Linked DNA regions of Diceros bicornis minor. The protein of the gene in region 4 binds, or shares a complex with, the protein of the main gene of each other region. Links are inferred from orthologs where the notes say so. Each region holds a gene or a part of one and is shown on either strand. Other genes may lie near its edges.

Evidence for each region.
Region 1: the proteins of KCNAB2 (region 4) and KCNA3 are in contact, whole or in part, in a cryo-EM structure (PDB 7EJ2), measured with the Homo sapiens proteins. The link is inferred for Diceros bicornis minor from reciprocal best matches to the Homo sapiens genes KCNAB2 and KCNA3. Residues at the interface, in NP_001186789.1 of Homo sapiens: Met196, Tyr199, Ser200, Arg203, Glu231, His234, Lys235, Ile236; in NP_002223.3 of Homo sapiens: Pro133, Met137, Phe140, Pro142, Leu143, Asn145, Tyr147.
Region 2: the proteins of KCNAB2 (region 4) and KCNA1 are in contact, whole or in part, in a crystal structure (PDB 1EXB), measured with the Rattus norvegicus proteins. The link is inferred for Diceros bicornis minor from reciprocal best matches to the Homo sapiens genes KCNAB2 and KCNA1. Residues at the interface, in NP_059000.1 of Rattus norvegicus: Met196, Tyr199, Ser200, Arg203, Glu231, Lys235, Ile236; in NP_775118.1 of Rattus norvegicus: Glu37, Met70, Phe73, Asp74, Pro75, Leu76, Asn78, Tyr80.
Region 3: the proteins of KCNAB2 (region 4) and KCNA2 are in contact, whole or in part, in a crystal structure (PDB 5WIE), measured with the Rattus norvegicus proteins. The link is inferred for Diceros bicornis minor from reciprocal best matches to the Homo sapiens genes KCNAB2 and KCNA2. Residues at the interface, in NP_059000.1 of Rattus norvegicus: Met193, Met196, Tyr199, Ser200, Arg203, Glu231, His234, Lys235, Ile236; in NP_037102.1 of Rattus norvegicus: Asp28, Glu33, Pro62, Met66, Phe69, Asp70, Pro71, Leu72, Arg73, Asn74, Tyr76.

The regions. Positions count from the first base shown.
Region 1 is NC_080743.1:43,675,835-43,683,062, forward strand, and holds the start of KCNA3 (potassium voltage-gated channel subfamily A member 3), read right to left. Parts: upstream 3,006-7,228; coding exon 1,278-3,005; 3' UTR 1-1,277.
Region 2 is NC_080756.1:56,621,364-56,628,505, forward strand, and holds KCNA1 (potassium voltage-gated channel subfamily A member 1), read right to left. Parts: upstream 2,494-7,142; 5' UTR 2,171-2,493; coding exon 683-2,170; 3' UTR 503-682; downstream 1-502. UniProt on the Homo sapiens protein: Voltage-gated potassium channel that mediates transmembrane potassium transport in excitable membranes, primarily in the brain and the central nervous system, but also in the kidney.
Region 3 is NC_080743.1:43,614,426-43,622,212, forward strand, and holds the start of KCNA2 (potassium voltage-gated channel subfamily A member 2), read right to left. Parts: upstream 3,014-7,787; 5' UTR 2,477-3,013; intron 2,031-2,476; 5' UTR 1,868-2,030; coding exon 368-1,867; 3' UTR 1-367. UniProt on the Homo sapiens protein: Voltage-gated potassium channel that mediates transmembrane potassium transport in excitable membranes, primarily in the brain and the central nervous system, but also in the cardiovascular system.
Region 4 is NC_080752.1:26,154,403-26,161,527, reverse strand, and holds the start of KCNAB2 (voltage-gated potassium channel subunit beta-2), read right to left. Parts: upstream 3,005-7,125; 5' UTR 2,924-3,004; coding exon 2,706-2,923; intron 1-2,705.

The DNA.
Region 1 (7,228 bases), on a different chromosome or scaffold from region 4:
ATTTGTTGGCTTGAAACTTCTTGGAGAACGAAGGAAACAGAGAACCATCTTTTAAAATTATTGCCTTATTACTGGCATTTAATTCAAATCATGCCTTATTGTGGTATATATCTAACCATTCCAAAGACGATATTTTCCTTCTCAATTCAGTCACTATGGAATGACATCAATGATTTTTTTGTAGTAAAAAAATATGCATTTTGTGATTCATTTCACCACTTCACGAAGATTCTCAGACTTTGTTCAAACAGTGGTTTCCTTTATGAAATCATGTAAGTAGAAAACATCTGGAAAGATTATTGTGGAAAAGGCAGGGGCTAGGGGGTGGGGCTAGAGAGCAAGAGATGCCATGACAACCTTTTTCGAGTTTCCCAGGAAACATGGGTTGCTATGGGAACTGCATCAGTCAGGTCCGAATTAGTAAGTTCCGCTGGAAGGAGTGTCTGCCACTTTAATCTTCTTGTGATACTGCAGAAGCTTATCTCTCAGATGCATTAGGAAATTTTTTTGTTTCTCTCAGCAGCACTGAAAACATCTGTTTCTAGACTTTGATAGATGCTGGCTGGAACACACACAGAACTTCACAGGAATCTGTTAGTCTAATACTTTTGAAATGCTTAACAAGCCCCCAAGAGTTAAACTATATTAGTCAGATCAGGACATCTTGGGCATTCCCCTTTGTTCAAAGTTGCAGAGAAGCTCAAAATTCCAGGAGGGGAGTTCCAAATAGAAATTCTAGTCAAAAACCAAATAATATGGTGGGTTTACAAGTCATTGTTTTAATTAGACTTTCCATCCACATATCCACAGCATAGGCAATTGAACTAAAGATTCAATAACGTTGACGGGCCCATCAAACCCAAGCACAGTTTAAGTATGTGCCTACTTTACTTAGTAAAGAAACAACTGCCTTTTAATTCTGAGGTTAAACAGTTACTCTTAACTGTTCTTTAGTTTCATTTCCTCCCAGGATATACGGGTTTTTTTTTTTTTTTTATAGGACTTGTACCAGAAATCAAGTTTAAAGTAAGTTTGTTTGCAATATTAAGAGAGAGGGGGAGAAAAAAAAAGGAGAGCTGAGAGAATGCAGCCCACTTGCAAAACAGACACCTGTTTCAGTATGAAGCAGTAGGGAGAGGGAGAAGGAAGTGTGCTTTCCACCTCTTCATGTTCTTTCCTTGATGAATGGCCTGGAAACGTATAAAACGAGGGCATACAAAGACCAAGGGGGCATGTTCCACATAATACTGAGCACAGCATGTCACTTGTATCATATATTAAACATCCGTAAATATCTTTTTGATGTTGACACAGGAGTTGGGATTATTGTTCGTCGTGCAGGTGGCAGTGGAATTGCCGGTTTTGAAGGGGGTCTGGGGGAAAGCGCTATGGTTCATACCCCCCTCTTCGATCACCATATACTCCGACTTACTCAGAGTCGAGTTACTCCTTGCTTTTCGGAGCTCCTCGGCTGAAGAGGAGAGGTGCTGGCAACTTCTCACGTGCATGTACTGGGCTTGCTCTTCTCCTTCGGTCTCCCGGTGGTAGAAGTAATTGAAGTTGGAAACAATTACAGGGACGGGCAAAGCAATGGTCAGGACACCAGCGATGGCGCAGAGTGACCCCACAATCTTGCCCCCTATGGTCACTGGGTGCATATCACCATAACCTACTGTTGTCATGGTTACCACTGCCCACCAGAAGGCATCCGGGATACTGCTAAAACCTGAAGTGGGGTCGTCTGCCTCGGCAAAGTAGACAGCGCTGGAGAAAAGGATGACCCCAATAAAGAGGAAGAAGATGAGCAGCCCCAACTCCCGCATGGAAGCCTTCAGCGTTTGCCCCAGGATCTGCAGCCCCTTGGAGTGGCGAGAGAGCTTGAAGATGCGGAAGACTCTCACCAGGCGGATGACCCTCAGGATGGCCAGGGACATGGCTTGCTGTCCATTGCCCTGTCGCTCAGCCAGCTCGGTGCCCAGAGTGATGAAATAAGGGATGATGGCCACGATGTCTATCAGGTTCATGATATTTCGCGAGAAGGTGGCTTTGCTGGGGCAAGCGAAGAACCGCACCAGCAGCTCAAAGGAGAACCAGATGATGCACAGGGTCTCCACCACGAAGAAGGGATCCGAGAAGCTGGAGGCTCCCGCGGGGGCCCCCGACGTGCTGTTGCGGGCCGCCTCGGACAGCTCCTGCGACGGCGAGGCGGGGTAGTCCTTCTCGTCGCGGAACTCGGGCAGCGTCTCCAGGCAGAAGATGACAATGGAGATGAGGATGACGAGCACGGACACGATGGCGATGCCCCGGGCCGGCCCGGAGCTCTCCGGGTACTCGAAGAGCAGCCACACCTGGCGCTGGAAGTCGCGGCGGGGCAGGGGCCGCTCCTCCTCCCGCAGGAAGCCCTCATCCTCACGGAACTTCTCCATGGCCTCCTCGCCCAGCTGGTAGAAGCGGATCTCCTCGGAGAAGATGTCGATGGGCACGTTGACCGGCCGGCGGATGCGGCCCCCGGACTGGTAGTAGTAGAGGATGGCGTCGAAGCTGGGCCGGTTGCGGTCGAAGAAGTACTCGTTGCGGAGCGGGTCGAAGTACCTCATGCGCCGCTTGGGGTCGCCCAGCAGCGTCTCCGGGAACTGGCAGAGGGTCTTGAGCTGTGTCTCGAAGCGCAGCCCCGAGATGTTGATCACCACGCGCTCCCCGCAGCAGTCCTGCTCCCCGGCGGCCGGCAGCGCGGGCGGCAGCGGCTCGTAGCGGTCGCAGCCGCCGCCGCCACAGCCGCCCTGAGGCGGGGCCCCGCCGCCGTCCGCAGGCTCGGGCTCCAGCAGGTGGTCCCCGGGCACCACGGTCATGTCGGGCGGCAGCTCGGGGCCTGCGGCGGGCTCGGCGTAGCCGGGGTTCACCAGGGTGTGGGCGCCGCCGCCGCTCGCGGGGGGTGGCGGAGGGTGGACGCGGTGGCGGGCGGAGGGCGGCGGCGGCGAGCGCAGGAGGCTGAGGTGCTCGTCCATGCGGCGGGGAAGAGGCGGCGGCGCGGGGCCGCGTCGCTCCTCCTCGCGCTCCCCGCCCCTCGCCGCCTCCGCCCCCGAGCCGAGCCCGCCGCCTGTTGCTGTCGCTGCCACCGCCGCGAGGCTCCGTCTGGGTCTGGCGCGGTGCGCCCGGCTCCTCCGAAAAGACGCCTCCTCCGGCTCCCCTCCGCCTCCTCCCCCGTGGGGCGCGCGCCCGCCCCTCCGCGTCCCCTCAGGATTCCCGCCCACCGCGCGGCCGCGCGCCCCGCTCCCCCGAGGAGCCGCCCCGCCCTCCTCGCCCCTCTAGGTCACGGAAGCGCCCTCATTTTGCGTCCCAGTGTTCCCCCCAATCCCTGGCTCAGCCGAGGCGGACCTCGGGGACTCCGGCCGCCGAGCCTTGGCCCCTGGGCACGACGGGCTTCTGGTCAGCGCCCCCCTCCCCCGGCTCGCGAGGCCGCGTCCCAGGCGCGGGGCTGCTCGACCGGCACTGGGCCACTCGCGGCCCCGCGCGCCCCGGGCCTCCGCGCCTTGCACTCTCCACCTGGGCCCGCCGGGGAGGCGGGCCCCGCAGAGCCGAGGTGGCAGAGGGGAGGCAGGCGAGGAGGGAGCATGGGGATGTGCTCTGGACCCAGAGGGGTGTCGGGGGAGGGAGCAGGCCAGGTGGGCGCCTGGGGAAGAAGCAAGCCTGCTGCCAGCATCCTGAGTCCACCTGAGGGCAGAAGACCGCCAGGCCGGCAGGGCTGTCAATAATTTAGCTCCTTTTTGGATGAGAAGCAGAACCAAGTGATGGGTGCTGATGAGTTTCGCACCCGGAATCTGAAGATAATGGGTCTTTAAAGGCATTCAGGGACTTCACTTCTGCAGTGAATAGTTCACTCTAACTTGCGCAGCTGAGAGTTCAGCCATTGGGAAGAACCAAGGACCAAGTTTCTGGTTGAGATTGGCCGGGGCCTGGTCTTTTCAGTATGGTGAGATTTCCTGTCAGTGGGAAAATAAGAGGAAAATGAAAAGGGAAATTCACATCGCAAGTATCTGGGAGGGAGGGGAATGAGACCTGTACCTAGACCCTCTACTTAATGTTCCACTGCTGGCCTTGTGGGAGGGAATTTGCCACACTCTAGTAGTTAAACTGGGAGAACATTCATTCTGAAACTTGTATCTCTGTTGCTTGATTTTGGCCTGGAGATAATAACTTACATTTATCCCCTTTGAACCTAAACTATTTCTCCAAATGGTTGTGGTCACTTTGAACACAATTTCTGTTTCCAGACATTTTAGCAACTCCAATTCAGAGTCAACCTTAGGCTTAAAAATGTGTTTTCTATTGTATCATTCAAATCATTTACAAAAGAAGAACAGTTGTCTAGACAACTCCCTCACCTATCATACCTTAGGTGAGAGTTCCATTTGTAGTAAGAGTGATTTGTGTTCATTGCTTCCCACCGCCACTCCTAACCGTGAGGTTTGCTAGGGCAGAGACGCGGTCTTATCCAATTTATATTCCTAGCAACTATCGAAGTGCCTGATAAATAGTAGAAACTCAGTATATGTTTGTTGAATTGAATTCCCTAGTAAGTGATTCTTTGCATTTCTGTCTGCTCTGGAGTGTCAACATTTCTCCTCTCTGAGGCCAGGACCACTGGGATTCCTGGGATGAGGGGTGAGGGGAACCTGAGTTCACAGTACAGTACATTACTCAGTTATTCCACATGGTTTCCACTCTGCCTCTTTTGGGTACAACAAGCACTCATGTTCTTCAGGGTCCTCTTATCTTCCACTTCACCTCCAGGTCAGTGCCGGCCACTGCAGGCAGTAACATGTGTTGTAAGGTGGTAAAAGTGGACAACCATGTAAAACATTCTCACAAAACTAGAACACTGTTTTTGAGCTGGTGATTAGGGTAGCAGTATAATCAATCATTCATATATTTAAATCTAGGAATAAGACAGATGGCTCACTGCAAGGATGGCTCGTAGAAAGGCAAAGACCCTATTTTTAAAGACCAAATGTTTCATGCACTTCTATGTCTGACTTAGAAAGTGATTTATTTCTCCATTTGCAGGAATTAGTACTGAAATTAATATTAATCAATGGCAAGGAAGACTAGAACAGAGGAGGGCCCTGTGATGAATGGTCACAAGCTTCTCCCTGCTGTGAAGTCTCTCTCCTACAGAAATGACTATTTCCATTCCTTCCATGTATTTGCCTTGTCTGGAAGACTGGTTATGAGCTTCTTAGGACAGCCCTTACTTTCTATGTGAGGCCCAAAGAAGTTTAGCAGTTTGTTCAAGCTCACACAGCTAGTTAGTGGCAGAGCTAGGCATAAAACCTTGGACCATTTCCAAATCCAATGTTCGCTCTACTGTATCACACTGTGAAACTCTTATGTTGATTACTGTGAGTGCTTAATAAATACTAGATTTCTAACGGCAGCCTATTTGCTTCTGATTGCCGACTAGTTCACTTCAATTCGTATTTATTTTAACTGAAAACCACTGCCTTCTGACAGCTAGTCTGTTGTTTGTAGGAAATGAGTTGGTGGGTGAATTCCAGCCCTGTTGTACGGCAGAACCCATCACAAGAAATCAATGTCAAAAATGGCACTTCAGGAGGAACACATACCATTTATTTAGTACCCCCAATGGAGTAGCTCAAAGTGATTTGAAAATGTCTCATTATTCCTCATGACACCCCTGTGGGATAATAATAATATTATTATAATGTTTAAGCATAGAACTGTGGCAAAGCCAACAGCTTCTCTGAGCATGTGGAGAATTCCTCATATTTCAGTCTTCCATATTAGACCCTAAGTAAAACCATCAGGTTTGCAAACGGCAAGGGTAAATCTTGGTGTTTGGGCTTTCTGAGTTGCTCTGGACATAGCTTGAGTTTCTAACTGATCACAGCAGTACCAGAAATAGCTCACCAGTCAGTTCCAGATGGTTAGCAGCCTCTGGAGTTAGCTCAGAAGTGTTTGAGAGTGGGACAAGGCAGGCCTAGCGATTACCACTAATTACAATCACAGATAAATGAATGGAGGAAGAACACATACTATGTGCAAGTCACAGTCCTAGGCACTGTGGCAGTATGAAGTTTGAACATAGACCTCACCCTCAATAGGCTTACGTGGAGTTTGGAAGATAGGCTATAAATCCACGAAAATCTTTGTGACAGTATTAGTTAACAATACAAACAATAAATATTACCAGAAGTGTCATAAGACACTCCGTGACTATTTGGTCTAGTCTAGCCAAGCTGGCTGTCTTGCTGTTTCTCAATCATACCAAGCTGGCTCCTCCCTCAGTGTCTTCAAACTTCCTCTTTCCTCTGCCTGAAACACTCTTCGTCCAGATTTTCACCCAGCTCTTTGTAACACTTTAGGTCTCTGTTTAAAATGTCACTTCATCAGAGATGTCTTCCCTGACCACAACCGCCTGATTTCAAAGAGTTCCCCTCCGTCTCCTCCTTCGGTAACTTTCTACCTTCTTATCTTCTTTATTTTTCCTTATTGCGTTTATTTACTTGAAATTATATTTTATGATTATTTGGTTACTTGCTCCTTGACTGTGTCCTGCACTAAAACATAAACTGCCCGGTAGCAGGGTTTTGACTTTTTTACTTCTGTCTCCTCCAAGTCTAGCACAGTACCTGGCACATAATAGATGCTTAATTAACATATGTTGAACGGAGGAAGGAAAAGGTGCAGTGTGAGTGCACAAGGCACAGTAAGGTACAGTGAGTGAGCCAGTTTTGCTGGTATAGGGGGTTATTTGGAGAGGTATCTGTACAGTTCTGGTTCTGTTTCATAGACCCAGCTGGGCTATGCAGATATGCAAGAATTGTTTTTTTAAGGTGCCACTTCCTCCCTTTTTCTCTATTTTCCCTTCTCCCTACCCTCCTGGATGGGTCTATCCTGCACTCCAGAATTATACTTTAAGCTGCCCACTTGAATATTCTTCCTGCAGATACTCCAAACTTAATATTTATAACACTGAACTCATTATCTTTCTCTCCAAGCTTGCTTCTCTTCCTGTTTTTTTTTTTTTTTCAATTTCATGCTAGAATACGATGTCATCTCTGAATTGTTCTTGTGCCCCCCACATCCAGTCGGTCACTAAGTGCTTTCTATTCTCCCTCAAGTCCCTCTCAGTTCTGTCCTCACCACTCCATTCTCACTGCCACTGCCCCAGTTCAGCCTGCCATGATCGCTTCATAACAGGCTCCCT
Region 2 (7,142 bases), on a different chromosome or scaffold from region 4:
TTAACTCAGTTCTCTTTTTCTTAGAGAACAGTTTGGATTAGAAAGGGAATGGGGCAGAGGGAAAATCCCTACAGATCAGGACCAGTATCAGATGCATAAGGTGCTTTGTGAACCAGTCTCAAGTAATTTTTTCCCCTTGTGATATGCAGTTCAGTTGATCAAAATAAAAACGTTTGTTCATTGTCCATCTTGGCTGGTATGTCATGTTACAGATAATACATCAGATGCACTGTCTTAACTGTGCGGTGCAGTTTGTAAAGATTTTATATTGGAGTTCCGTGCAAATTTTACTTTTCTACTCCTAAGTGATCATCTGATTTTTAGTTAAAAGAAAAAAATCAAAGAAGCCAAAGGATTAAAAATGTTTCAGTATGCGGAAGCACATGAGTCTTATTTTACCTAGACTAGCTCACGGACTGAATTTTTTTAAACCAGCTTTAGAAAATACACTTTCTCTTCCCATTTTTTTAATAAAAAGAAAATAGTTTCTTTTTTTCATGGATCTTGAAAGCTTCTGGTTCATCACCCCCAAAATCCGCAATGCAACAATGCATTGACAGTTAAATAGAGCGTATCAAGTATCTACAAAGAGTGACATGGGTCACTATGGTTTTTGTTTTGTTTTGTGTTTCAAGTCTTTCAAGCTGCTAAGTGGGGTTTTTTTGTTTGTTTGCTTGGCTTTTTAAACATCAGTCAGTAGCTTGCTCTTATTAACACAGTTTTGGTTAGCTGCGGTGCAATTGGCAGTTCTGATATTGGCCTGTCTGTAATGGGCTATGCTATTATTCAGATCCTCTTCGATCTCCATGTACTCAGACTTGCTGACAGTAGAGGAACTGCGCCGACTGAGGTCACTGTCAGAGGCTAAATTAGGGGAGCTAACGTGGAGCAACTGAGCCTGCTCTTCCCCCTCAGTTTCTCGGTGGTAGAAATAGTTGAAATTGGACACAATGACAGGTACGGGCAGGGCAATTGTCAGCACACCAGCGATGGCACACAAGGAGCCCACGATCTTGCCTCCAATTGTCACAGGGTACATGTCACCGTATCCTACAGTGGTCATGGACACCACCGCCCACCAGAAAGCATCGGGGATACTGGAGAAGTGCGACTCAGCTTCTTCCGCCTCGGCAAAGTACACTGCGCTAGAGAACAGTATGACCCCGATGAAGAGGAAAAAGATGAGCAGCCCTAGCTCTCTCATACTAGCTTTGAGGGTCTGGCCCAGGATCTGGAGGCCCTTAGAGTGGCGGGAGAGTTTGAAGATTCTAAAAACCCTTACCAACCGGATGACCCTGAGGATGGCCAGCGAAGTGGCCTGCTCGCCCTTCTGGTTTCCCTCCTGCTCAGCTATCTCGGTGCCTAGGGTGATGAAATAGGGAATGATGGCCACAATGTCGATGAAGTTCATGATGTTTTTGAAGAAGTCCGTCTTGCTGGGGCAGGCGAAGAAGCGCACCACCAGCTCGAAGGAGAACCAGATGATGCACAGGGTTTCCACGATGAAGAAGGGGTCCGTGAAGATGTTGGAGTTGTAGATAACCGTGGTGTTGTCGATGCGATGGATGGTGCCTGTGAAGTCCTTGTCATCCTTCAGCTCGGGTAGAGTCTCCAGGCAAAAGATGACGATGGAGATGAGGATGACCATGACGGAGACGATGGCGATGACCCGGGCGGGCCCCGAGCTCTCGGGGTACTCGAAGAGCAGCCACACCTGGCGCTGGTACTCCTTCTCGGGCAGAGGGCGCTCCTCCTCCTTGATGAAGCCCTCGTCTTCCCTGAACTTGTCCATGGCCTCCTCGCCCAGCTCGTAAAACTTGATCTCCTCGGAGAACATGTCCAGGGGCACGTTGACCGGCCTCCGCAGGCGGCCCCCGGACTGGTAGTAGTAGAGGATGGCGTCGAAGCTGGGCCGGTTGCGGTCGAAGAAGTACTCGTTCCTCAGGGGGTCGAAGTAGCGCATGCGTTTCTTAGGGTTGCCCAGCAGCGTGTTGGGGAACTGCGCCAGGGTCTTGAGCTGCGTCTCGAAGCGCAGCCCGGAGATGTTGATCACCACGCGCTCGCAGCACTCGTGGTCGTCGTGGTCGGCCGGCCGCGGGTAGATGCCATCCTGGGGGTGGCCCGGGGCGGCCGAAGCCTCGTCCACGTTCTCTCCAGACATCACCGTCATGGTGCAAACGGAGGGTAGGGGTGAGAGACCGGGAGAGAGCCCGAGGTGGAAACGAGCGAGAGAGGAGGGGTGGGGGGGACCCGAGCGCCCCCCCCACCGGAGTGCGCGTCTCCCCCACGCTCAGGGGGAGGGGCTTCAAAGCGAGCAGGTCCAGAGATCTGTGACTTCGCTTCTCGTTACCTTCCCCTCCACCCTGCCTTTACTGAGTTTGGAATCCCCCTTGCCTGTAGCCAGGGTGCAGCTTTTTGCGGAGGGGTGGGGTCGGGGGGAGGGTTGGTACTTCTTCCTGCTCCGAGGTGCCTTAACGCAGTGCCGTTCTAGCGGACCGGGCCATCGCTTCGGGTGTCACCCTGGCCTCCCCTCCCCTCCGCGAGCCCTCCTAGGACCGGGTGCAGAGCCAGCTCAGCAGATCCCCTCGCCTGCCACCCCCTCTGCTTCTCCTCGGCTCTCCCCCCTTCTACCCCTCTTCGCCTGCCGCCTTCTAAGCTCCCACCGGGGCGATCGATGGACGCTGCAGAGAAATAGAAAGTGATATGGGGGTAGAAAATCAGAAGCATTCAGATGGGACGGACCTACAGACACTGAAGAGCACAGACCTCTAGCTTTTTTAGACAGCACTGGACTTTTGCTAGGGTTATCACAGACACACAGACAGACACACGCAGACACCCCGAAATCCAAGTTTGGGGCTGTTCCATCCCACTTTCCCCAATGCCCAACAGCCGATCTGGTTACAACTTCGTTAAACTAGAGATCGGAAAAGCGCCGAGAGACGCTGAGGGAGCTCCAGATCCCAGGCAGCATCCCCACACCCTCGGCTTCCCGCACCCGGTCGCCCCAAACCCCGCTTTTGCAGCCCCAAATGGGGAGCTCCCTACCTGGCCGGCAGGCTTGGCGCAGGGGCAGTGCTGAGTCGGCGGAGAGCCCGAGTCGGAATGCGGCAGGTCGCCTTTGCAGTACCCGGGCGGGAGCCGCGGCCGCCGCCGCCGCAGCATCCGAGAGGCGCCGGGGCAAACTCGCCGCCCTCGCCCCCTCGTCCTACGGCCCTTAGGTGGACAGTCGCTTTACTGAGCAGCTACGGCAGAAATGTCCATCCCCTACCCCCATTCTCACCCGTTGCCAGCAACCTAGAGACGCTGTCCTCTCTCTGGTGCAGGGAGTTCCGGAGGATGCGGGGCAGAAAAGCAAAATGCCACCCTCTCCCGAAGCTCTGAAGCAAATGACGATAAACAGCACTCTCGCCCCCTCCTAACACTGTGGGAGCCCTTGAATCGATCCCGAAGGAGGCGAGCGAGCAAGAGCCTGGATCTACATGGCTCTCGGGTCCCCTCAGATTCCCGCACCCCAGCGTGGCTCTCGCCGAGGCTCTGCTGCGCGCCGGGAGCCGTTAGGAGCTCCGAGTGGGGCAGGGTGCGTGCGGCGGCGGGTCCGCTCGGTCCATTTCTGGGCGCTGCAAGATCAGCAGAAACCTGAGAAAGCGCCTGGAATGCGCAGCAGCGATTGGCCCACCCGGGCGTGGGTTGGGGAGGGCGGGGGAGGGCAGGAGCGGGGAGGTAGACGGAAAATATGAGGGGGTGGCTTGGCACAGGGGGGTTGTCATTCAGTTCCCACCCTTGCCAGCACGGCCTTTTCCTTCTCCTGCTAGAAAAGCCGACCACTAATTCTACCTCCCTTATGGTCCACAGCCCCGCACACGCACGGTCCCTGGCCGCGACCTTCCCCGGGAATTTCACATTGTAAATGGTCAGGTCCGACGCAATGCAGGCGGTGGTGTTCCTGGCAAAACTCCTCGGATGGGTCTGCGTTCGTGCAGTCCCACAATAATCCGCTTCGGGCGCCACGCTCTGCACGCCATCCGCCCCTCCGGCAGGGGGCTCTCTACAGGGCCAGCCCAGCTTCTCGGAGAGATGCCGACTTTGGGTAGAGCTCTGCGGTTGAGGATCACCTGAGTTTGTTCTGTGTAGCGTTACTGCGAGGCGGTGGTGCTAAGAGTCTGTCCCTCTTTGACTTACGACGGGAGTTGAAGTTTTCACTATAAGATTATTGTAAAATACGGAGAATGTGACTTGTGGGCAATCTAAGGCTTGGTGGGTTTGTGGGGTTGTCTGCCAACTTGGTGCTAATTGGGACGTATCTGAGAAGCAAGTCGCCTGCCCACCTCCCACCTACGTCCCTCTTCCCGCAGCCTCTTATCCTGGCCTAGTGCCTCCACAGGGCCATTTGCAAGGCTTGCAACTTCTTCGGGAAAGGGTCCGCACAGAGGCGCAGGGCAGGACCAGCCGGGGGCGTGCGCGGTGCACTGGGAGTGCGGCTCCAGCTGCGCCCCCAAAGGCGCTGCGCCTCCACGCCTGCAGCCCGCCAGAGGCAGCCAGCAGCTCGGGTACTTCAACTGCTGCTGAGTCTCTGAGGAGGCTGAAGAACCCGGAGTCGCCGCTGATTGGTTCCCCCGCTGCGTTGGTACCACCCCTTCGCACCACCACGGGTCTTGTTGCCTCCCGCCCACACTAGCCACCTCTTTAATCAAAGCCAATGATTGCATCTCCCCCCGCCCCCGCACTCTATCGTGGCTAGTGGAAAGCCCAGGCAGTGCAACAATCCTGGGTAGAGAGCTAGTTAAGTCCCTCCTCCAGATTCAGACGCCAGCATTCCTTTCAGAAAAATAAAAGTGTTTGTTCCCTCCGCTCTGCTCTGCTGGATCCATACCCCAGCTTTTCTTTTATTAGCAATGACTTCTCTTAATCTCCTCTTTCTCATATTGAACGCTGCCTTTTCCCCGCCTTCGGCACACGTATTCCTGTATCCCACTAACTCCACGGTTCCCTAGCTTTCTGCACTACTGCTTTATTGTAAAAAAAATTAAGGACATAAAACAGGAAGCTCTGCGCTGGTCCAGTGCCTTATTTTTGTTGCTGCTGCTGCTATTGCTGCTGCTGCTGTTAACAGCACTAGGGAGATAACCCTGCTAGATCTGATAAACATTTTCTGACCATGTCCTAGGAATACTGGCTCCCCTACCCTGTTCTTGTCCCTCCCTCTGCCTGTAGCCCCCTTCCTTCTTTTAAGTGCCCCTAAGACTGTCATCTCCCTAGCCTCATGTGGATGCACTTGCCCTGATTCAGCATTTGGAGACTGCCTTACTAGAAGAGGCTTGCAGACTGCATGGGATCCCAGCTTCCTAAATTCAGGGTTTTATTAGAGGGCATAATAAGATCTGGAGGTTTCAACCTCCCTAGCAGATATGCTTAGAGCACAACTGGACTCCCAAGGAATTGGAAGAAAGTTGTCCAGCTAGCACATGGTCATTCATCATTCTTGATGTAAGCCCATCATTGATAAGGGTCTGAAGATATTTATTCATTCAACAAATATTTGCTCCACCCTAGCTATGTGTCAGACATGTTCTAGTGCTGGAGACATAGTCATAACTAGGACATATGAGGTCCTAGCCCTCACAGAGCTCACATCCTGGTGGGAGAGATAGACAATAAATAAACCATACATTTTATAATCTTAGGTAAAGAAAATTAAGCAGAGGGGTAGAGAGTGACAAATATAAGTTTGGATGCATAGGAAGGGCCTCTCTGCAGAGGTAACACTTGAATAAAGAACTTCAAGAAGAGAGAGAGAAGGAATGGGGAGATCAGAAAGATAGAAGTAGAGGCAAATGCAAAGGCCTCCGCCCCCAGCCAAGTACAAGCTTGGCATATTGGGAAACAAAAGAGGGCCAGCGTGGCTAGAAAGAAGTGACCAAGGAAGAGTAGTGTAGAAAGCAGGTCAGAAGAGTAGGCAGGGGCCAGATCATGCAGAGCCTCTTAAGCCACTGTAACAATACTTCACTTTATTCTGAGTGCAATGAGAAGATATTGGAGGACTTGGCTCCATATACTAACATTACATGATTTGCCATTTTTAAAGATTATTCTGGCTACTGGAAACAAAGTGCAAGTTTGGAGGTTAAGTTGCAGAAGCAATGATGGCTTAGACTCGGGAGACAGTAGTAGGCTTGTGAGAAGGGGTTGGAATAGGATTACATTTTGAACGTAGAGATGGCAGGATTTGGGCCGTGGGGGAAAGAAATATTTCAAGGACGTCTCCGGGCCGGCCCGGTGGTGCAGGCGGTTAAGTGCACGTGCTCTGCTGAGGCGGCCCGGGGTTCGCCGGTTCCGATCCTGGGTGCACACCAACACACTGCTTGTTGAGCCATGCTGTGGCAGCATCCCATACAAAGTGGAGGAAGAGGGGCATGGATGTTAGCCCAGGGCCAGTCCTCCTCAACAAAAAGAAAAAAAGAGGCTTGGCAGATGTTAGCGCAGGGCTGATCTCCTCACAAAAAAAAAAAAAAAAAAAAAAAAAAAACATCTCCTAGGTTTGTAGCCTTAGTATCTAGGTGGATGGTGATGTCATTTACTGGAGGAGTGGATTGGACAGCTTCTCTCCCACCAGAATGTGAGCTACACAAAGTCTGGGACCTTGTACATCTTAATTATTACTGTATTGAGCAGTTGAGGCCTCTCCTCAGATTCTCTCCACCTCTCCATTCTTCTTGCCCTGTGGCCACTTGCCCTGCCTCAGCTGCTGCTGGAACAGCCAGCTCTGTGTGGGCAACAGAGTCCTGCCTCCTGAGGTTGACCACACAGCAATGAGTGGAATCAGGATTTCTCAACACCACAAAAAGGTCCAGGTGAGCAACACAGCCATGTGGAAGCATTAAATGGACCAGTGGGAGCTTGCCCAGTGGGAGATACGAGATAGGATGGAGCCTGTAGATAAATTCCCTCCCCCTTAATTCATTTCAGGGACAAGCAACCACATGGTCTGGAGACAGGGCTGTATCTCTTTGTGGCTCGTGAAGCAGTGGCCAGCTTGGTGCCACACCACCTGGTATTTGCACCCTCTCCTTCCCTATCTCACTTCCCTTGTCCTTTACTCTCACTGCCCGGGGCTCGCACCTTCCATTAAAGCACAAGTCCTG
Region 3 (7,787 bases), on a different chromosome or scaffold from region 4:
GGGTGAGGGGTAAGGGGGTGCATCTCCCAGATGCTGTGTGCATTTAATGAGGAAGGAAAGGTGGCACTGATGTGGTGGGTTATGTATTTGACATGAAGTGGTCTCAATGTGTCTTTCTGAAATCCTGGCTCCATAGGCGACTCCCATCTTTGGAAACCCCTGAGCCAGTGATGAAGATTTGCATGAAAGCCATGGATAGATATTCTGTGTTCTAAATCAAAAATCAAAAGATCAAAAGTCACTTGCACAACTATTGCTTTCCATGCAGAACCAGATACACACTGTAGAACACACTGACTACAATGCAGGCTATTATGCAATATCTGCATTAGTTCCATTGAGCTGGGAGGATGTTATCAGGTTTCAATCAGACATCAGTTAACATTTTGGTAATATTCACATAGTTTGTATTAGCCAAAGTGCAGTTGGCTGTTTTCAAGTTTTCCTCTCTAAAGTCCTCGTTACTGTTGTTTACCCCCTCCTGGATCTCCATGTAATCAGACTTACTAATGGTAGAGGCACTTCTACTTTTCTTTAGGTCGGGGGAGGATGGGATCTTTGGACAGCTTGTCACTTGCAAGTACTGGGCTTGCTCCTCTCCCTCTGTCTCCCGGTGGTAGAAGTAGTTGAAATTGGACACTATGACGGGGACTGGTAAGGCGATAGTTAACACACCTGCAATTGCACATAGGGAGCCCACGATCTTTCCCCCAATGGTAGTCGGAACCATGTCTCCATAGCCTACAGTTGTCATGGAGACTACTGCCCACCAGAAGGCATCCGGGATGCTGGGAAACTGGGAATCTCGCTCATCGGCCTCTGCGAAATAGACAGCACTAGAGAAAAGGATGACTCCGATGAAGAGGAAGAATATCAGGAGGCCCAATTCTCTCATGCTGGCTTTGAGGGTCTGACCTAGAATCTGGAGACCTTTGGAGTGTCTGGACAACTTGAAAATCCTAAAGACTCTTACCAAGCGGATGACACGGAGGATGGCCAGCGACATGGCCTGCTGGCCCTGTTGGGCATCCTCTGGCTTCTCAGCCAGCTCCGTCCCCAGTGTGATGAAGTAGGGGATGATGGCCACAATGTCAATGATGTTCATGATGTTGGTGAAGAAGCCGGCTTTGCTGGGACAGGCAAAGAACCTCACCAAGAATTCAAAGGAGAACCAGATGATGCAGAGGGTCTCTACAATGAAGAAAGGGTCAGTGAAGGACGTCGATTGCTGGTACCCAATGGTGCTGTTGGAATAAGTGTGGAAGGTCACTCCACTGCCGTGCATGTCTTCATTTTCATCCCGGAATATGGGCAATGTCTCCAGGCAGAAGCTGACGATTGAGATCAAGATCACCATGACAGAGACAATAGCTATAATCCTGGCAGGCCCTGAGCTCTCTGGGTATTCAAAGAGAAGCCACACCTGTCTCTGAAACTCATTTTCGGGCAGAGGACGCTCCTCCTCTTTGATGTAGCCTTCATCTTCCCGAAACATCTCCATCGCTTCTTCTCCCAGCTCATAAAACCGAATTTCCTCAGAGAATATATCTAAGGGCACATTCACAGGTCGCCTCAGCCGGCCCCCAGACTGGTAGTAGTACAAAATGGCATCGAAGCTAGGGCGGTTCCGATCGAAAAAGTACTCATTTCGGAGGGGGTCAAAGTACCTCATCCGCTTCTTTGGATCCCCTAAGAGGGTCTCTGGGAACTGGGCTAAAGTCTTTAGCTGGGTCTCAAACCGCAGCCCTGAGATGTTGATCACCACCCTCTCACAGCACTCGTGGTCTGCCTCTGGGTCATAGGTGTCCTGCGGGTGCCCAGGGAGGGCAGCAGCCTCATCCGCTGGGTCTCCGGTGGCCACTGTCATAGTTGGAACTGAGAGAAGCGCCTCACGCTACACTTTCCGGCTGCCTGGCGGCAGGGACCTCAGGGTGCTGCTTACGGCCCCAGGAAGCACAGGAGCATTGGCCTGGGCTCCTGCGAGAGAGCCCCAAGGGCTCTCTGAGAGCCAGGAAGACAGCTCTGTTTGGCTGAAAGACAGAGGCAGTTAAGGACATGACACCACTCGGCATTGGCAGCCCAACCTGGATTGCCATTCCTCGTCCCCCATCTCTCAACCGAGTTCAGAAACATCACCACCACCAGCAACAACAAAAACCAAAATTTACTTTCACCTCATAAACTGGCTGGGGATCATAGGGGAGTAGACGACAGTCTCTCACGAAAGCTCTGGAATTGCCCTGCACTGGGGGAAGGTGGCTGGTACAGGCCCCCCTCTGCACCATACAGGCTTCATGGAGCATAAACCCATACTAGAGGCTGGAAGGGAGCCCTCCCCCAGGCACTAAACTAATGTCTTGCAGATACCCGCACCCTGGGAGGTATTCATCACACAGAATCTTAGGCCTGGGTCTCCCTCACTGCACCTACCCCATGACTCTACACATGGCTGTTATTAAATGATAGAGTTATTTACCTGGCAAAGCAGGAATCTGAAGCTCTCCTCCTTGCAGAGCTGATCAGATGGTGCAGGAATCCTAGATACACAAACAGGCTGTCTGACTCCCCATCATGTCTTCTCACTTGAGCTAGAAATAATGGTGAGTCATTCTGGGCAGGAGGGCAGGCTCCAGGTCCCGGAGGTGAGCTCCAGGGCCGGGCTGGGCTGGGCTGGAGGGGCAGCGGTGTGCCTGGCCAGGGGCACGCAGGACTCGAGGACAGCCGAGCCTGAGTCTGGAGCCTTTGGAAGGAAGAAGGCCAGATGCAAAGCTCAGCAAAAGCCGGAGTCCTCCTGGCTGTCTTCAGGGGGTGTGACGTTGCCTGGAAAAAACAGCAGCAAGGTGGAACCAGGGCTTTCGGGGGGCTGGTGCCAAGAGTCAGGAGGGCTCTGGCAGCTTTCCTTCCAGGCCCATCTTCCATTCTGGTGTCACACCTAAGAACTACCCCTCAGCCTCCTAGCCTCCTCTGGGCAGGCTTCCATCAGCTGAAAGCATTTTCTCCCAGGAAACAAGCCATCAGGCTTGGCTGGGCCTGTCTCCTCCAGAGGCCTTACTCGGCTAAGCCAGGTACCCCGACAGTCCTCAGCAGCCATCAGGAGGGACTCTGGGCAAAGTCCTCCCACCCCCAGGTCAGGACACAGCGTCTCCCAAGGGAAGGGCTTCCTACGCCGCAGCCTGACTACAAGCTCTGACCCGGCGGGGTCCTGCGGAGGAAGGAAACGTCCCCACCTCCCGAACACACATTCCTTCAGAGCTCATCTGGGGAGACTGCTCACACAGAAAGGTTGGCTCTACAAAAGCTGGCCGGCTGGGTCCCAGGACTTACTCTCCCTCGGGGATCCCTAGGCTGCAGGATTCCCTTTGAGTGGGGTGGCATTTGAACTGGGCAGGCGCTCGACCACCGGTTTCTCCCCAAGAGAAAATTCCTCAAATCTCCTCTGCAGGGAGCGCAGAAGGAACGCTCAGCCAGCCTGGCTGAGAGGCGGCTTGGCAGCAGCGAGAGGGGGAGCCTGGAGAAAGCCGGCTTCCGGGCTGGCCCCCTGCCGGCCCAATCCCGCCGGCCCCAGGGCAGGGAGGGGTCTGGGCCCTCTCCCCATCTCCCCGGGCTCCGGCCGGGATTCCGGCGGGCGCACACCGCGCTCGGCTCGGCGCCGGCAGACCAGACCCACGAGCTGGCAGCGGCCGAGAGCGCCACCTTAACCCCCTCCTGCCCGGTCCACTGGGCTCTCGCTGTGGGTCAGAGCGCAGCCCAGCTTTTTTGCCCCTGGGGTCCAGCCGAGGGACCACCGAGGCTCCATCTCCACCCGAAAACACTGGAGCCTGAAATCCGGGGGTGGTGAGCAAGCTGCTGCCCCAGATCTCAGCTCCTTGCCAAGCCCGGGGGCTCCACGGCAGCCCACGGCCCCAGGGAAGCGGAAAAGCCCTTCTCTGCTGCAAAGCCGTTTTCATTCCGAGTCAGAGAGGGGAATGCAGCCTGGCCGTCCCAAGTGATTCGCGTCCTACCAACCGGTGCGATTTACCAGACATAGTTATGCTGTCAGCTGCACTTCCCATCACCCGCCAGCCCCTCTCTGCGCCTCCGCCCCGCACCGCGCACAGGCAGGCAGCCTAGGGGGTCCCCGAGCCCTTTCCGTGCCTTCTTCTTCGACAGAGCACCAGCCCCCCTCGCCCGCCCCGGCACAGGCAGGCAGCCGCGGTCCGCACAGGCTCGCCCGCTCCAGACTCGGCCCGAGCCCGCCGCGGGGCAGGCTGCGCCGCCCGGCGCCCCGCAGCCCCTCTGGGCGCCACAGCCGGCGCAGGGAAAGCACCACGCGCAGCCTAACGCCCCGACACCGATTTACCCTTCTGGGTGGGCACCCGGAGCCTCCATGTTCCTGGGTGACCGCAAGCGGCGGCGGGGTGCGGGCGGCCAGCCGGGAGCCCGCTCTGCAGTCCCGCGGGCGGCGCGTGCCGAGCGCCCGGCCGCCGCCCGCAGCCGCACCGCGCCACGCAGCGCCGCACCTGGCCCGGCAGCGAATTCGAATTAAAGGGGCCGGCGGGGGCCAGAGCCGGAGAGGCGCGCCGCGCCGACACCACCGAGCTGGCCTCTGAGTTGGGCCCCCGGGCCTCGGCCCCCACCCCACGAGGACAACACCCCATTCTTTGGCAGAGCCCAGCTTACTAACCAGAACCTCGTGGAGAGCTCAGCTGGGTGCTGCCGGGGCCGGGGAACGGGGGGCAGAAGTTGAAGATCGGTCATGAAAGGCTCCTGCCAACATAATGAAGTAGGCGAGGAGGAAACAATCAATAGCAGCTATCCCAGGCCCGAGGAGGGATCCAACCCCGCGGGAGATGTGTTGCTATTATTACGGTGCTGCCAGACAGAATCTACAGAACCCCTCCTGGCCCTCTCGCACCGGCTCGCTCCCTCCTCCTGCTCTGCCTCCTCACCTCCCTCTTACCCAGCCAAAGCTTTGGCTTCGCAGGGGAATGCAGCAGGTGCGGGCCGCAGTGTGGCATAAACTCGTTGCTGTATTCGCCCCCACCGGGAGGAGCCGCAGGAACAGGCAGAGCTGCAGAGCCGACCATCTCGGCTGCCTCCCCACAGGGCCGGGCAGGCTGGAGTCGTGCAGCTGCCATAGCGAAGAGCCAGTTACCCACAAAACAGGCCCCCTCACAGACCTTAACAAAGCCAGGTGGCCCACGGGGATCCGAAATTGGGAGTGCAGCTCATGGCACCCTGGGGTGGGCAGAGGAGGATGACCTTTGCTTTTGGAAGAATATATGTGGGAAGTCCAGCCTGCCCTCCGCTCAGATGGTGGATCTGAGAGGGTCCAGGGTGCTCTTGGGAGCTCTATGACAGCTTCAAACTGTGGTTCCTTGAGCCCAGACTGCGGCACACAGGACCCCTGGATGCAGAGGGGCTCCAGTCCTGGGGAGACTCCTGCTGGGCCCTTCTTGCTCAGACAACCCTCCTCTCTAGGCCTGTAGCTTGTGATGGAAGCTCTGAGAGCCCACAGGGTCCAGCTCTGTGGGATTCCAGCATTTCATCAGGGTAGTCTACCAGGTATGGTTTAAGACTAGAGGCCAACTCAGAGCTGCAGAGGATGGTCTGGGAGGGCAGTGACCTCAGTGAGCTCTGGGAACGACAGATGACTGTAAGGCAGGATTGGTTTGGTTTAGGGCCCCTAGAAGCTGGGCCATCAATGTCCCAGCCTGAGTATGGCCTGGAAGTTTTGGAACCAGCCAGACTGGGACTTAAATCCCTGCCAGGTACTAAGCAATTAATTCACGTCTCTGAACCTCAGTGTCCTCATCTGCAAAATGGGGATACCTCGCAGGCTGTTGTGAGGGTTGTTTATGTAAAGAGTTTAGCCCCCAGCAGACACTCCACAAATGATGGTTTCTCCACTCTGCTTCCCTATGAAACTGCCCTCCTAACTCCAGCCTCCAGCTCAGCTTTTGACTGTTTCTCTAAGGGCTGGATCACCAGGTTTTGTGGCCCCATTCCCTCCGCTTCCCAGTTTGCCCCACCCCTCACCTCCTTCGCCAAGCTGTCCTCCAGAATCCTGCTCCACACTCCTCCCCTGACCACGCTGCAGGGCTGTTTTTCCTCCTTGACACATTGGGTCCTCATGTCAATTAAAGCACAATAGTCTTATCCCTTTGATGGGGTCTATATATTTTCTTTGCCCCCCTTTTTTAAAACGAAAGCCATGGACGGAAGAAAGCTCTTGAGGGAGAATCAATAATCGTGCTAATTGGTGACGTGCTTACCATGTGTCAGACACCATGCTAAGCACCTCTAGCCCAGTGTGTGTTTAATCCTTACAGCTCTATGAGGTCGTTTCTATATAAGTACCATTTCATGGAAAAGGAAACTGAGGCAGAGAGAGGTGAAGCAACCTGCCCAAGATCATGAAGTGGTGGCTCTGGCACTTGAATCAGGTCTTTGTGACTCTGGGACACACACCCTTAGCCCCCACCCCACACTGCTCAGGTAGAATGAGCAGCCCTTGACATTCATTTCTCTCTTTGGGATCGTCCTCTGACCCTGCTCCATCTCCTGATGGGCCTCAGGGGTGTGTCGTCCTGCCTCCCCCCTTTAATGCCTGATCTAAGTGTGAACAGCAGCCAAAAGAAATTAGCTAAAGAAAGAAAGAAAGAAAAAAGAAAAGAAACATAACAGTTGTCCAAGGGCACACGGTGTGGCTTGGCCCTGGAATGTAACTCCTGGTTTGGCGATGCTCTGTGAGAAAAGATCGCGGGCCCAATTCCTCGCTCTGGCACTTGCTAGCTGTGTGAACTTGAGCAAGTTATTTAAACTCTCTGAGCCTCAGTTTCTTAATTTGTCTAATGGAACAACAAAACTACTTTACCAGGTGGTAAGGATTAAGTGAGTTATGAACAGAGGACAGCCAGCTGGCTTACCCTAGGGGTTCAGTCACTGTTAGCTCGCTTTCCAGCCCTAGAGCAATCCCCATTTCTTATTTTTGGCTGCAAAAGAACGGCTGGAATGCCCCTTGATCCCTTCCCTCGGGTGGGTCAGACCCCCAAAGACCACTCCCCGCCCCTCAGTCTGGTTTCCTGCTAGGGCCATACCTTGCCTTCAGCAGAGGGAAGGACCAGTGACCACCACAGTGAGTGACCTGCCCCTGCCCAACACAGGAAAGTTGTTGGTTCCTGTGCTTGTGACTACAGTCACTGGGAGGAGGAGTCTATGATGGTGCACCCACCCATGCCCATGCCCACCCTCCCAAGGCTCAGGAGGGAGGGTCCTTTATTCTTCCTGCCACAGCTCATGAACACAGAAGACTACATGAGCTCCCTTCTCAGGTGTCACTCCCAGAGGACCAGCTCTCCTTCCTTGCATGACTACCACCTCAGTTGATGTTTGTTCCTCCCCCAACCCACCTACCCTGGGTGCTGTGGCGGCACAGCCCCCTCTAGCCCACGGAGGCGGGGCAGGGAAGCACGGAATGCGAGCCCAGGCACTGTGCTGACAGCTTTCCATAGGTCGTTAGATTTCATCCTTGCAACCACCCACTGGGAAAGATGCCATGATCTTCATCTTACAGCTGAACGTTGAAGCTCAGAGAGGACAAGTCGCTGTCCAGGGTAATTTAGCCAGTAAGCGGTGAGGCTGGGACAGAACTCAAGACTGTCCGACTCCACTAATCACTATTCTGTTCAGCTGCCTGCTTTCGCTGTTAGCCGGAGGCCGGCCTCTGGGCTCAATTCCTGGTCTTAGGAACAGGGGTTCGGTCCACAGAGCTTGCAGACCCTTAGGGCATATCCACACATCCACTG
Region 4 (7,125 bases):
ATGGGGATCGTGCAGATTTAAAAATTCAGTGCATTTGTTTTAAACAGCAAGAGTTGAGGACAGTTAAAAACAAATGGGAGAAGCTGAAAAGAAAGCTTTTTCCCCAGCTGCAGGCTCAGTTCAGCCGATAACACGTCCGGCCAGTGGCGTGGGTGTCTTTGCTCCACCGAGCATCACCTATCTGGAGGCATCACCTTTTTCATATTACTATTTAAGACCAAGTTTAACTGAGTCCTGGCCCAGATGCTGATGGGGATGTTAACTGCGGAACAGCATTTATCTGGAATCTTTAATAACTGGTGGCGTTAGTTAGGGAGGCCCTGTTTCCAGACAACCAACCCCCCCTGGATGCAGCAAGATGAAATCCACCAGATAAAGAAAGGCCCGCAGGTGTGACAACCTCTGGCCCATCAAATGCGAAAGGTGCCACCAGTGGTTTTCTTGTTTCTCCCACCCAGTTTTCCCAGGGTATTTCGGCCCCAGTTAGTTCTGCATGTTTCAGATGCCACACAGACCTTTTCCTGGGGTGTCAGGCACATAAGAGATTCGTCCCCATCCCCTCCACCCACCCCCTGCCAGCTGTGCTAGTGTCTTGGGGCTGCCATAACAAAGTACCACAAACGGAGGGGCTTCAAACAACAGAAATCGATTCTCTCACAGTCTGGAGGCCAGAAGTCTGAAAGCTGAGTGACAGCAGGGCCACACTCTCTCCGAAGGCTCTAGGGGGGATCTTTCCTGCCTCTTCCAGCTTCTGGTGACTGTAGGCAGTCCTTGGCTTGTGGCCATATCCATCCAATCTCTGCCTGCACTGTCACATGGCCTCTCCCTGAGTGTCTTCACATGGCCTTCTTATAAGGACACCAGTCACTGGGTTTACGGCCCACCCCATTCCAGTAGGACCTCATCTTAACTAATGACATCTGTAATGACCCCATTTCTAAATAAAGTTTCGGGTGGAGATGAAATTTTGGGGCACACGATTCACCCTGGTGCACCCTCTATCACAAATCATATTCAACGGAGGGAGCTGGGGTCTTCCTAGGGGGAGGACAAACTCTGGCCACCCCGCCTCATCCCTACAGCTCTCCGCCGTCCTCACTTAGGCCAGGCCACTCAGGCCTTCTCTCTCCAAAAGTACGCCTGTCTCCCTGGCCCAGAAGGGTCTGCCGCATATCTTCAAATGTCCCCTTTCAGATGGCTGGGGTCTCTGGCCCAAGTCGTCCCCGGCTCCCCTTACTCCCTTAGGTGTCCACTTGCTTTCTCTCTGCCTCCCCCGTTGAGGAAGCGATATCCAGGATGGGGACGCTGTCTGTCTTGTCCATGTGGCATCTGGCACACCTGTTCCCTGGAGCCAGGTAGATCCTCAATAAACACTTGTTGAATTAATCAAAAGTATCAATGACTTGCCAAAAAAAAGAAAAAATGCAGAGTCTCATCTCCCTTTTGAGAAATTTCCATCAGAATTAGGAGCTCGTTGGGGCCAAACTAGCTTCCCTTACAGCTGGAGTTAGAATACAAAGCCTTAAGGATTCTGCCATCTAATGGACTCACAGCAGAAGTGTTTTGTTGCTTTAAATGACAACCACATGTTCAAACAATCAGCCGAAGGCCCAAACACATTGTCCATAGGAGAAATGTTAAAGCCACAGGCTGGTCACTCTACTCTCCAGAGAACAGCCGATAACCCCAGGGGCCTGTTAGATGGAAGCTAAAGATTTCAAGTCGCCAGATGAAATACAGGACATCCAATTAAATCTGAACTTCAGACAAACAACGAAAAATGTTTTAGTATATGTGGGACATACTTATACTAAAAAAATAAACTCACTGTTCATTTGAAATTCAGATTTAACTGGGCATCCTGTATTTTATTTGCGGAGAGGGTGTTCTCTGGCCAACTGGCTCTGGCAAGGGCTTGTCCCTGGGAGGCGCAGGAATAAAGCTGCATATATGCAATTTATAACGGAAAATGCAAGCTCCAGGGCTCTCTGGCTGCTTTCTGAGGCTCCCAGAGGAGAAAGTAGGCAGGCCGGAGTACTGTCCCAGACGTTGATTTCAACAATGAGCAAGCTAAAGAGAATGTCCTTCTGAGGTTCCCAGGAAATTAAGCCCCACATGCCTGTCCCCTGGAGAACACAGGGTCATTTAATCCACAGCCTTCACCATCACAGTTACAGGCGGAGCTGCAGCAAGCAATTCAGAGGCCACCTGTTGAAACCACTTCCCACGAGGACAGCTCAATTTAAGGATGGAAAGGAGGGGACCATGTCTTTGCCCCCACAACCCAACCCGGGTTTCTGGCGCCAGGTAGGGTTTGTCATTAGAGATGACGAATTGAGGTATTTTCCCTAATTCATGTTTAGTTAACTCCTAACAATTAATTTGTCTCAGCAACGTTGCAAGAAGACAAATGAAATAGCACGTTTACCCCTGCTGCAAAGTTTTTTCAAGAAACCACATTCTTTTCCCACGGAGAATATACCAAACTTAACGGTGCTTTTCTTTGGAGGATAGGACTGTGCAAACTTTCATTTTCTTCCTTTATACATTTCTATATGCTTGGCATTTTTAAACACAAAATATTGACCCTGACATACGGTAAAGTTGTTTTCATGTTTCCTGGGCTTCTCTCTCTTGCAGCACCTGCCTCGGGCCTCCTGCCACGTCCAGCGTACTTCCCGCCCCAGCCCCAGCCCAGCCCTTACCGGTACTTCATGCCCGTGCGCCGGGCGGTGCAGCCATCCAGGGAGAGGCCGTGCATGCGGAGGAAGCTCTCCATGTTCCTGGCCTGGGCGGCCGCCCGCACCTCCCGCAGCCGCTGCAGCTCTAGTGTGTCGGTCTGGCGGACGGGGTGCAGGGCCCAATCAGAGTGACACCTGCTGCTCACGCTCCTCAGGCTCTCGCTGTACGTCATGGACAACATGGTACCGCCTGGCCTGGGAGCCACCACTGTCCAGACGGGAAACGCCGGGTGGCGACGGGTTAGAGAGCGTGCTGCTGCCCCCAGGGCCCGGGCTGGATGCTGGCCCCAGGGCAGCGGTGGCTGCAGAGACACATCCTCCAACTAGAGCAGCCACCAAGGGGTCTTGATGCCCAGGGACGAGGCCAGGCCCCTGGATGTAAATACTTCTTGGCATGAGATTCTCAGTCCTCAAAGCTGGCCGGGAGCTCTGGCTAAGCCGCCCTCTCCCCCCGACACCCGTGAGTCAAGCACAGGCGAAGCCACATTCCAGGCGGGAGAGCTCAAAAGTGCTCCAAATGAACACAGGGGCACAGGGAGCATGCAGAGAGCAGAGCCCCCACAGCCGAAGACCCGACATCACGGTGCTCTCTGGAGGCGTTCCCAGAGTAAAACCCGTGAAGGGCTGTCCCCGGGAAGCAGCACACCTGTCACTGAAGCAGACTCCAGTGTGATTAGGCCGGGGGTGCCTCAGCCCACATGCCAGGGGGCCCTGCCCCAGGAAGACCCTGCTCATTTGTTCCAAGCCTTGTAAAGGGAAGTGCTATCCATACACATTCTCTGCTTGTAGAAAGCGCCATTGCACAGCAGAGTTCTCAGGGCGCCACGCTCCGTGATAACTATGTCACAATCCACGAAGTTTTGCAATAGAAACACTGAGCAGGATGCATTTAAGGAGAGGGGTAAAGAAGGGGGAATAGGCTTAGTATGGATGAGGAAATTTCAAAGCTTAAATGTTAAGCACCATTGCTAAATAGTCATCCTAAACAATGTCTGCACGCTCTTGGAAACTAAAGACAACATACATGTCCATTGATGGGGAAACTGGTTACGTAAATGACAGTCCAGCCACATCATGGAAATCTGTGCTGCCATCGAGAGAGGTGTCTCTACACAGACTGATATTCAATGAGTCCTAAAAGACAGTGGGAAAAAGGCCAGGGGAAGAAGTGTGTGCATGGGACGCTACCATTTACTGTGTGTGAATTCATGTGCATAAATGAGTGCATCAACGAAGGGTGGCATCATGACTGGCATCTACATCCTGCAGCATCTTTGACCGGGCAACAAAGACACGGCCCCAAGGGGCAGAGGTGGCCTACAATCCAGGGACTCCTCCTGCACCTGACCACAGCCCTCCACCCTGGCGCAGCTGCCTGCACGGTAGCCCCAGCATAGTCACTGACGACAGAGGTGAGATGGAGTTACCCTTCCCGCAGGGTCAGCTGCAGAGCGGGGTCCCGGAGCCCAGCCCTGGGAGTTGGAGGAACCAGCACTGTCCCGACCTCTGCTCCGAGGGAGAACAAATCCGATTATCCCTGGGAAGGGCTGGAGGGGCTGTCCCGGGAGCAGAGGCAGCTGCAGAGGCTGTGGCTCGGTCCCTGAGTGTGGAGGTGGTGGAGCCGCCTGGGCTAGCCACACTCCATATCCCCTTTCCTGCTGCGGTTTTTGTCCACGGCACGTGTCATCATCTAACGTGCTGGAGTCTCCTCTAATCATCTTGTTTGTTGCATCTGATCCCCCTGAAGGTCAGGTCCAGGCAGGGGGCACTCTTCTGTCTGCTTTTGTTGCCGCCTGCTCAGTGCCCGCAACACTAACTGGGCATTTCCCTGCCAGTGCCCGGCAGCACCTGGGGGGGCTGGGTTGGCTCCCTGACTCAGGCACAGCTCTCCGCAAGCTGCCTTCTCCTGGGGGGTGGGGGGCCCCTCGGCCAGGACTCGCATTCACTGTGGCTCAGGTCCAAGGGAAGGGGCCTGCAGGGCCCAGGACTTCTGGCGTCCCCCAGAGGTTTGGACTAAGGTCTCTGATGGACACTAAAGCAGGCAGGGATGTCCCTGGTGTAAAAATCCCCCCTTTCTGGGAGAATCACTCTGGGGGCAGTAGAAGGGCACGGGGCTCCAGGGTGGGGGTTTGTCTCAGGAAATGGTGCCACGGAAGCCCACAGACAGCAGCTCCCTCCCTCCCACCCCCTCTCCAAGTGCACACAGGGCAGCATCAGGCAGCTGCTTCAGAGGCCGCTGGCCGTGTGGTGGGGTGAAAGCAGACCAATCCTGGCTTCCGGGGGGTCCATGTTCAGAGAGAAGACCAGCTATGCAGCCTGCAGCTGCAGGAGCTCACCCAAAAAGCAGGACCCACCTCAGATGAGCATTCCTAGCCAGGCCCAGCCAGGCCGAGATCAATAACCATTAGCTTTCAAGTCATCACCCACCAAAAGCAACCCTGGTCTGGTCTGGCTCTGGAAATCTAGCCAAGGCCCTGGGGCTGGGATGACAGTGTGGCTAAGCAGCCAGGTTTCGGGCAGGGGCACCCACTCAGGGCTACCTAGTCAGACATCTCGACCACTCCAAGCCTCAGTCTCCACGTCTGTGAAGTGGGACAAGCGGAGGCCTATTGCATAGGCTGCCTCGGGCTGCAGAGGACCAGCTGGACATCTGGGCAGGGGATGGTGTTGCAGCGGGAGCTTGCTGCACGCGGGGAGGTGGCCACCAACAACAAGGCGTGGCATGTGACACCAGTAATGATAGCTGGTGTCGGGACAAAAATACACAAGACAGGGTGGCAGGGGGGATGGGGCCTCCCGAGAGGGTACACATGAGCATGGGCCTGAGTGCTACGAGGAAGCTGTGCGGATACCAAATATCACTAGAAAATGTTGAATAGGATGAAACGTCTCACGGAGAGCACACGTTCCTAATGAGACGGGTGCAGGACAGGTGCGGCCAGGATCTGGAGGGCCCCTCTCTGTGGGGCTGGGCCTCCTCTGCTGTGACCCTTCCTCGGGAGGGCCTGCGGGTGGGGCGGGGCCACCTGCAGCATGGAGGGAGCCCAGAGCCTCCTGCTGCGAGGGTCCTGTGGAGCCAGGGCAGGTTCCAGCCAGGAGATCTGTGGGAGAAGTGGGGCGTGGGCACAGCAAAAGAGGGGCTGGGAGATGTTCCTCCTGCTAAGGTCCTCAAGGGAGGCAAGACCCCCCAGAGCAGGAAGGACACAGAAGGCACAGTGGGACTTGACGGTCACCAGTGCCACCGGTGGGAGAGGACAGAAGCCAGCTCCCCGGACTTCCTCACACTGGGGCCTATTCCCGCTGCCTCTCAAGGCAACTCGAGCAGGGCTGGGTCCTTGGATGAAGGGTCCCCAGGAGGACACTGCCGGCAGAAGGGAGGGCAAGCCCACGCTTGGGGCTTCTGCCTCGGCCCTCTGGCTTCTCAGAGCTTAAAGCACAGTGACACTGACCTCTCGCTGCTCCTCCTCACCATCCTGCCGCCCATCCCCAGCTCAAGGAAAATCAGCCCCCTCCTCAATAGCCATTGCTAATTACGCGGCGCCTACTGCTTCTGTAGCCTGCCTTTTGCAAATCTATTCTTGCAGACTGGTGGGCTCGGGGGAATTCACGTGAATGAACACCATGACATGGAAACACGAAACAAAGACATTAACCTCATTAAGTCAGTGGAAATCACGACCTCTCTGAAGAGCCTTCCACCTGGCGCTGCTGAACTGTGGTCTGTTTACTGACAGCCACCAAAGCATGAGACGCGAGGTGTGGAAGGAATCCTGAACATCTCTTTTAAACGGCGACATCTGCCTCAATGTCAGAGAAACCAGCCAGAGTTCCTGAAAGCGGGAATGCGAGGGGAAGCGGCATCATTCCAAGCGAGGCTCTACAATGCACGGCATCGCGTCAGGGCAGAAACGAAACGATTTTTGCTGGAGAGCAATCAGCAAACCAAGGCCTGAACAAGCAGCCCCGCTCTCCCAGGCCGTGTTTCCAGACAGACCTTTCAGACAGCCACAAACCTCCCTGCTGTCACTCCCGGGAAACTCGAAAATGCTGAATCCTAACGGTGAGCCCAACAAGGTAGGAGCGGTTTGCCCAGGTCTCCCCCAGACGGGGACAGCCAGTCGGCGCTCGCTCGGTGGGGCTGGGGGGCAAGCATGCTCAAGCGGCAGACACCCACCCTCCTGCCTCCAGCGGTCATCTCACGGGGACCTGGGGCTGGCTTTGTTTGAGGTTTTCCCCTTTGAAAAAATAGAGGGGGTCTAATTTCAGATCAGCCTAACGCATCCCCAAATACCGGCCCTCTGTTATTCCGTTCCTAGGACACTTGTCCCCAAGCAGCATCCCCTGAAGAAGGTGGCTGCCACTTGCACTCCTGGAGCTGACGGGG